Macaca fascicularis: one gene and its partner. The protein of the gene in region 2 interacts with the protein of the main gene of each other region in a biochemical or structural test. Links are inferred from orthologs where the notes say so. Each region holds a gene or a part of one and is shown on either strand. Other genes may lie near its edges. The genes, in order: PECAM1 and PTPN6.

Region 1 (4,523 bases), on a different chromosome or scaffold from region 2:
ATTCTTATTATCTGTGGCAGAGGGGTGGGTGGCAGAAACTGAGCATTGGGGGACTTTTCTTTGTAAAGCTTTCTGTACTTTGGTTTTTTTTTTTTTTTTTTTTGAGACGGAGTCTTGCTGTGTCACCCAGGCTGGAGTGCAATGGCCAGATCTCGGCTCACTGCAAGCTCCACCTCCCGGGTTCACGCCATTCTCCTGCCTCAGCCTCCCGAGTAGCTGGGACTACAGGCGCCCGCCACCTCGCCCGGCTAGTTTTTTTTTTGTATTTTTTATTAGAGACGGGGTTTCACCATGTTAGCCAGGATGGTCTCGATCTCCTGACCTCGTGATCCGCCCGTCTCGGCCTCCCAAAGTGCTGGGATTACAGGCTTGAGCCACCGCGCCCGGCCTGTACTTTGGTTTTTAAATCATGTGACTGTATTACCCTTTAACCTTTTTTTTTTTTTTTTTTTTTTGAGTTGGAGTCTTGCGCTGTTGCCCAGGCTGTGGCACAGTCTCAGCTCACTGCAACCTCCACCTCCAGGGTTCAAGTGATTCTCATGTCTCAGCCTCCCAAGTAGCTGGGACTACAGGCATGCGCCACCATACCCGGCTAATTTTTGTATTTTTAGTAGAGATGAGTTTTCACCATGTTGGCCAGACTGGTCTTGAACTCCTGACCTCAGGTGATCCACCCACCTCGGTCTCCCAAACTGCTGGGATTACAGGCTTGAGTCACCGTGCCCGACAGTATTACCTTTAAAATTTTAATTAAGAAATTGAATTTCTGTTCAGCTTTATGAAGTATTATATAACTGACATACAATAAGTTGCAAATGTTTAAAGTATACACTTAGAAAAGTGTTGACATGTGTATACCGATGAAACAACCTCTATAATCAAGGAAGCAGATACATCCACCACCCCCAAAAGGTTCCTGTGCCCTTTGTCTCCCTTGCCCTCTGCACTCTCCCCGCTGCAAGGATTGATCTGCTTTCTGATGAGTTTGCATGTTCTGGAATTTTGTAAAGATTCATACAGTATGTACCTTGTATTATTATTATCAGTATCTTTGGTGTGTCTTTTTTCTCTTTTTTTTTTTTTTTTTTTTGAGACGGAGTCTCTCTCTGTTGCCCAGGCTAGAGTACAATGGCACAATCTCAGCTCACTGCAACCTCCACCTTCCGGGTTCAAGCAATTCTCTGCCTCAGTCTCCCCAGTAGCTGGGATTACAGGCGCCTGCCACCACGCCTGGCTAATTTCCTTATTTTTAGTAGAGACAGGATTTCACCATCTTGACCAGGCTGATCTTGAACTCCTGACCTCGTGATCCATCTGCCTTGACCTCCCAAAGGGCTGGGATTACAAGCGTGAGCCACCGTGCCCAGCCTGGCCTGTCTTCTTTCGATCAATGTAATTATTCTGAGATTCCTCCATGTTGTCATGTTGGTGGATGTATCAATATTTCATTCCTTTTTACTGCTGAGTAGCAGTTCATTATATGAACACACCACAGTTTACTTATTTATTCATCTATTATTTTTTCTAATTTTTTTTTTTTTTTTTTTAGAGACAAGGTTTTTCTTGTTACCCAGGCTGGTATTGAACTCCTGGTCTCAAGCCATCCCCCCGCCTCAGCTTCCCCAAACCCTGGGATTACGACATGAGCTACTGCACCCAGCCTCTCCATTCACCTACTGATGGACGTTTAGGCTGTTTCCAATCTTACACAGTTACAGAAAAAGCTGCTATGAACAAACCTTTGTACGGACATATATTTTTATTTCTCTTGGGTAAATACCTAGGAATGAAGCAGCCAGATTATACAATAGGTGTATGTATGTTTAATATTTTAAGAAACTGTTTTCCCAACTGGTTATGCCATTTTGCATTCCCATCAGCAGTGCCTGAGTCCCAGTTGCTCCACACCCTCACCAACACTTGGCAGGCCTTTAATTTTAGCCATCCTAGTGGGGGGTGTAGTAATATCTTATTACGGTTTCAATATGCATTTTCTTATTGACTAACAATATTGAGCATGTTTTCACATGCTTATTTGTCATCTGTGTATCAGTTAGCTTTTTTTTTTTTTTTTTTTTTGAGACAGGGTCTTGCCCTGTTGCCCAGGCTAGAGTGCAGTGCCACAATCTCGGCTTGCTGCAACCTCTGCCTCCTGAGTTCAAGCAACTCTCCTTCCTCAGCCTCCCGAGTAGCTGGGATCACAGGCATGCACCACCATGCCCAGCTAATTTTTGTATTTTTAGTAGAGACGGAGTGTCACCATGTTTGCCAGGCTGGTCTCAAACTCCTGACCATAAGCAATCCGCCCACCTCAACCTCCCAAAGTGCTGAGATTACAGGTGTGAACCACTGCACCCAGCCAACATCTTATTTTTTTTCTTTTTTTTTTAGACAGGGTCTTACTCTGTTGCTTAGGCTGGAGTGCAGTGGCACAATCATGGCTCACTGCAGCCTCAAACTCCTGGGCTCAAGCTATCCTCCTGCCTCAGCCTCCCAAGTAGCTGGGACTATAGGTGTGCGCCACCACACACAGCTAATTTTTTACTTTTTGTAGAGACAGGGTCTTGCCCAGGCTGGTCTCCAGCTCCTTGTTTCAAAAGATCCTCCAGCCTCAGCCTCCCAAAGTGCTGGGATTATAGGCATGAGCCACTATGCCTGGCCTGGCCTTTTTCAATATAGTAAATTGAATGGGTTTTTATTTGTTTGTGGGCCTCTCCTTTCTCCCTGCTTCTTCCCCTTGACCTTGGTGGATTCCTTGATTGGGTGGGGGCAGAGATTCCCACACTGCTTTGGCTTCTTGTAACTGATCAAGTGACTGACTCCTACATAACCAAGAGACCCCACGAGTTCCCACCAGGCTTAACAAACTCACCCAGGACTCTGCTTGTCACATGGTGTTGTTCGCTTCTTCTCCTCAGCCAAGTGGAATTGAAGGAGGACAGACACACAGTCATTTCTACCTGCAGTGCTCCTGCCTTCAAATACCAGGTAAGTAACGCAGTTCCGAAACATAGCAACTCATTAACTGCACCAAAAAAAAAGCTGCCTGCTGGAGTAAACTTCAGGAAGTGGTTTTTCTGAGCAGCTGGGGGTGAGGTGGGGGGAGGAAGGTGGAGGCAGGTGGGCAACAGACATGTCAGAGGGCTACCAGCACCAGGCACAGGAGGCCAACCACCTATTTCATGACGATGGTGATGGGAAATGAGATTCACCGGCCATTCCATTTCCCCCACCTGTAGCTGCAGATCTCATTAGTCTTGGAGAGTTGAAGAGCCAGACTCAACAGCCCGCATCCACTGGGTTTGGGACACACCCCAGCCTGGAAGTGAACATGCACTAATGCGTAAATCAGAAGCCTGAGGTTCTTGTCTGTTCTCTGTAATTTAATAGCTTAAATGCTCTGAGGCTCAGGTTCCTCACCTATATAATGGGAATAATATGCCCATCTATCCATTGAATAGGCTTGTTAGGAAGATCAAACAAGAGCTAGCCTTTGAAAGCACGTTTAACCAACAGAGCACAATAAGAACATAGTAACAACAAAAAAAATTTTAAAAATAGCTGGGTACGGTGGTGCATGCCCGTGGTCCCAGCTACTTGTGAAGCTGAGGCAGGAGCAACGCTTGAGCCCAGGAGTTTGAGGCTACAGTGAGCCGCGATCACACCACTGTACTCTAGCCTGGGCAACAGGGCAAGACCCTGTCTCAAAAAGTAATAATAATTAATTAAAATTTTTTTTAAAAAACAATGGTTATGATTGAACAATAACAACAGTTGTTGGTCTGGTTTGGCTGGGCATGCCACATCTGAATCACTGCTCTGGAGCTCTGCTGACTCATGAACCCAAGGGCCAGCGCTCAGTGCCTTTTCTTCCACACCCACCATGTGCTGCCCTCACCACCCCAGTCTGGCCCCTCACAAAGGTGGGCAGCTGGGCAAAGGCAGGCAGGGACATTGTGGAGGAGTCTGTGCTATCCCATCCCCTGCAGGAGGCCTTCTCCAGTTACAACGGACATGGTTGTTTTGTTTTTGGGTTTTGGGGTTTTTTTTTTGAGACAGGTTCTTGTTCTGTTGCGCATGCTGGAGTACAGTGGCGTGATCACAGCTCACTGCAACCTCTGCCTCCCAGGTTCATGCCATCCTCCCACCTCAGCCTCTCGAGTAGCTGAAACTATAGGCATGCACCGCCACATCTGGCTAATTTTGGTAATTCTTGTAGAGACGGGATCTCGCCACATTGCCCAGGCTGGTCTCAAACTCCTGAGCTCAAGCAATCTGCACGCCTCGGCCTCCCAAAGTACTGGAATTATAGGCATGAGCCACTGCACCTGGCTGACATGGTTGTATTATGACTCATAACCATAGGCATTTTTGCCTTTGTAGACCTCTTCCTCCATAAAAAGAAATAAAAATTATGTTTTGAAACTGTACTGGTATAAATAAAAATATATTCACATTATAAATTTAAAAATTTCTTTTACCTAGACAGTATTTTTATTCTTCTGATTACTGTATCTTCTAGA
Region 2 (3,807 bases):
AGTTTGTATTCGGTCGTGTCATGCTCCCCGCAGTTGGTCACAGAGTAGGGCCCATAAACGCGCTGAGTGCCCACCTCGGGCCAGTATGTGACACATTTGTTCTGGAAAGGGAGGGTCGGGTGGGGATGAGGCACAGAGCAGGGCGCTGTGGCCCATCCCAGGTCCCGCTCTAGGTTCTGAGTGCCTGGCGCCAGCCCAAACGTTTGTTGGATGGATAGATGAGCTGGCAGAGAGGCAGGAGACCTGGGCTCTCGTCTCAGATCAGCCACCAACAGGTGGTGCGACCTGGCCAGCCGCTTTACTGGTACATCCATTTGTCATTCAACAAACATTGCCGAGGCAGGCGTTGTCCCCGAAGCCGTGCAAACCAGGCTGTAGTCACAGACACAGCTAACACCCAGTCTGTGCCCCTGTGCCTGGAGGAGCTCACAGAGACAAGTGACCGGGGAGACGCCGCGCTGAGGAGCGTGGCTGGGAACGAGGAAACTCGCCCTCTAGGTCCTGGAGAAAACAAGACCTGAATTCACAGAGAAGGCAGCGCTTCAGCTGTGTCTTCAAACACGAGGCATCTGCCGGGCGGAGACAGTGTGGAGACAGAGTCATTTCCTAGCAGAAAAGAGCTTGTGCAAAGAAAGGCTGGGAACCTGAAAGAGCCGCGGCTGCTGGGAGCGGTGAGCCTTCAAGAGAAGCGTGGGAGTCACAGGGAAACCACCAGGCCTTGAACGCCAGGCCTTCGAGTGTGACTTTATCCCAAAGGTGACCAGGAGCCATGGAAGAGATTTCAGAGGGGAAGGAACTCGACCCAGTTTGTCACGGATGGCATCACTTCAACGGCAGCACAGAGGGTGCTGTGTAAGGGGAGGCTGCAGAGTGAGGGGCAGACTCCACAGACATCTATGGGGCAGGGAGGACAGGAGGGGCCTGGATGCAGACAGGTGGGGAAGGTGTAGGAGGAAGGAGGACAGCCTAAAACCTGGGTCTGGAGCTCAGAAGAGCCCAGGGGTGCATGCAGGGATCTGGGGGTTGCATCGTGTAGTCGAGACTTTGTCACTAGCCCTCAGTTTCCCAACAAGGCTGGACCCTCACCCCCGAGATCCCTTTCTGCTCTGGCATCTGACGGTTCTTTGACTTAATGGTATGACCACAAGGACGGGGCACGGATGTGGGGATGGGGCGGGGTGCCCTACCCGGCCTTTCTCCACCTCTCGGGTGGTCATGACGATGACGCGGGTGTTCTCCTGCCACGCCATCTGCCAGAAGTCGTTGACCGTGGCCTCTAGACAGCCCTGGCTGGCGATGTAGGTCTTAGTGTTCTCATCAGGGCCTAGCAGCTGGTTCTGGACACAAGCGTGGAGAGACGCACCCCAAAACAGTGAGCCCCTCAGCCCAGCACAGGGCCTGAACCACTGCTCCCCTCACCCATGCAAGAAGCCAGCTTTGGCTTTGCCCAGGTGTCTCTGGATCTAGGGTCCCCCACCAGACAGGGAATTCCCAGGGCCCAGCCTCTCCTCCCACATGACCCACACCACTGACCTTGATGTAGTTGGCATTGATATAGTCGGACCCCGGGATGTTACTGTCACGTCCCTGCAGGATCACTCGGCTGTGGTCAACTGGGAGTGGGTGGAGAGGAGGCGAGATGGCCTGGGTCAGCCAGGGACTCACCACACCTGTGTCAGACCCTCCTGAGCTAACAGGCCGTTCTGGTCTCAGAAGCCATGAGGCTTGCGGGGGACTGTGGGCAGCAGGGGTGGGGGATCATCTGTACGGAGGGAGTGAGGGGATTCACAAGAAGGAGGTTAGGAGCAAGGGGCAGCCTGCCTGCTGATGGTGGGGAGGCACTTCTGGGAGGAGTAGAGGCCTTTTGGAGAAGGGGTGTGGGGAGATGGCCCCTCCTGGAGTGGAGGGTGGAGACCTGTGAGATAGGGGCGGCGGCTGGAGCGGGGCGGTCTCCTGGGTGAATGGGGCAGGGGCGGCGGTTGGGGCGGAGCAGTCTCCTGGGTGAATGGGGCAGGGGCAGCGGCTGTAGCAGGGGAGGTCTCCTGGGTGAATGGGGCAGGGGCAGTGGCTCGGGTGGGGCGGTCTCCTGGGTGAATGGGGCAGGGGCGGCGGCTGGGGCGGGGCAGTCTCCTGGGTGAATGGGGCAGGGGCAGCGGCTGCAGCAGGGGCGGTCTCCTGGGTGAATGGGGCAGGGGCAGTGGCTGGGGTGGGGCGGTCTCCTGGGTGAATGGGGCAGGCTGGGTGCTCACAGGGCAGAATGTTCTTATAGCGGTTCTTGCCCTTGTTCTCTGGCCGCTGCCCTTCCAGACGCTGGTGCAAGTTCTTCACCTCCTGCTTCTGCAAACTCTGAGATGTGGGTGAGGAAATGAGCATCACCTCCCAGAGAGAGCACCCATCAGGGGAGCTCACGTGGGGTGGGTCAGGAGCAGAGGTGGGCAAGGGGAGGAAGGTGTCCGCCTGGGGCCCCACGCGGCCGCCACCGCCTCAGCTGCCCCAGCCCTGCCGGTTCCCCACCATGCACCTCAAACTCCTCCCAGAAGCCAGCCTTGGCTGTATCCTCGGACTCCTTCTTCTTGTTCAGTTCCAAGACTCGGTTCTCAATGTCAGCCGCATTCACCCTCGTGGCGTAGTACGGCTGGGATAGGGGAGAGCGAGAAGTCAGCAACTCAGAGGTCTCAGAAGCTCACACCTGGGGGACAGCTCAGGGGAAGGGAGGAAGCAGCTGGGTCCCCGCCTGACCTGCCGCAGGTAGACAAAGGCACCTGAGGCCTCCTCAATCCCCGTCTTCTTGAAGTGCTCCACCAGGTCCGTGAGGCTGTCGAAGGTCTCTGAACCACCCACTGTGTAGCGTCCACCCTGGAGGGAGCCAAATAAGGCCACTCACAGGGCTCGAGTCTCCCTCCCTGGGCCCCAGCCTTGAATTCAAGCCCAGGCAGACCCTCCCTGCCACCCACACTGCGGTCACAGACAGGAGCCTCAGCAGAGGCTCCCCCACCACCTGGCTGCCTTACCTCACACATGACCTTGATGTGGGTGACCCTGAGCGGGGAGCCTGGGCCAGCCTTGGGCTGGTCACTAAGCACAGATAGCACAAAATCTCCAGGCTGGCTGAGACTCTCACGCACAAGAAATGTCCAGGGCTCGCCCTTGGCCTGCAGCAGCGTCTCTGCCTGCCCTCCAGACATGTGGCCATGGTACCACCTACAGAAGGCAGCGTCAGGGAAGGTGAGACCCAGGCCACAGGGGAAGGCGCTGAGCAAAGATATTCACAGAGAGGGGCAGGAAATCAAGCACCTACTGTGGCCAGGCACTGCGCTAGATGGTTCCAAATCCACCATCGTATTGATGCCTCTCACAAACATGCTGAGGGCTGGGTATGATATTACCCCCATTTTATAGATGAGGAAACTGACGCTGAGCTGTTACTCACTGGCCTAGGGCCCCTGATGGACTCCAAGGCAAGCCTCCAGAGCTCTGTTGCCCAGGCTGGAGTGCAGGGGCACGGTTATTGCTCTCTGCAGCCTTGACCTCCCAGGCTCAAGCTATCTTAGCCCCCAGAATTCTGACCAGGCTTTGAACCCAGAGACCACCTCTGAAAGGCAGAAGGGCTGGCAATATTCCAAATATTTGGAAGAGGGAAACTAAGGAAGAGTCTCCATGAAGGATCAGGCTGTGCCCCGGCAGAGACCAGAGGCAAAGAGAAACACAGACCAAGGCCACACCACAGGGAGTGGTGGGAGATGGACAGAGAGACACAAGTCACAAGGAAGGCCAATGGGGTGCGCTCCCCCAGGGAGGCGGGGAGGA

The links.
Region 1: the proteins of PTPN6 (region 2) and PECAM1 form a complex in vitro, tested with the Homo sapiens proteins (2 studies listed by BioGRID, with this or other methods). The link is inferred for Macaca fascicularis from reciprocal best matches to the Homo sapiens genes PTPN6 and PECAM1.

What each region holds. Positions count from the first base shown.
Region 1 is NC_088390.1:71,000,399-71,004,921, forward strand, and holds the start of PECAM1 (platelet endothelial cell adhesion molecule), read right to left. Parts: upstream 3,028-4,523; 5' UTR 2,873-3,027; intron 1-2,872. UniProt on the Homo sapiens protein: Cell adhesion molecule which is required for leukocyte transendothelial migration (TEM) under most inflammatory conditions.
Region 2 is NC_088385.1:7,893,925-7,897,731, reverse strand, and holds part of PTPN6 (tyrosine-protein phosphatase non-receptor type 6), read right to left. Parts: intron 3,202-3,807; coding exon 3,012-3,201; intron 2,857-3,011; coding exon 2,740-2,856; intron 2,636-2,739; coding exon 2,522-2,635; intron 2,347-2,521; coding exon 2,250-2,346; intron 1,614-2,249; coding exon 1,534-1,613; intron 1,338-1,533; coding exon 1,188-1,337; intron 849-1,187; coding exon of another isoform or gene 828-848; exon of another isoform or gene 645-827; intron 102-644; coding exon 1-101. UniProt on the Homo sapiens protein: Tyrosine phosphatase enzyme that plays important roles in controlling immune signaling pathways and fundamental physiological processes such as hematopoiesis.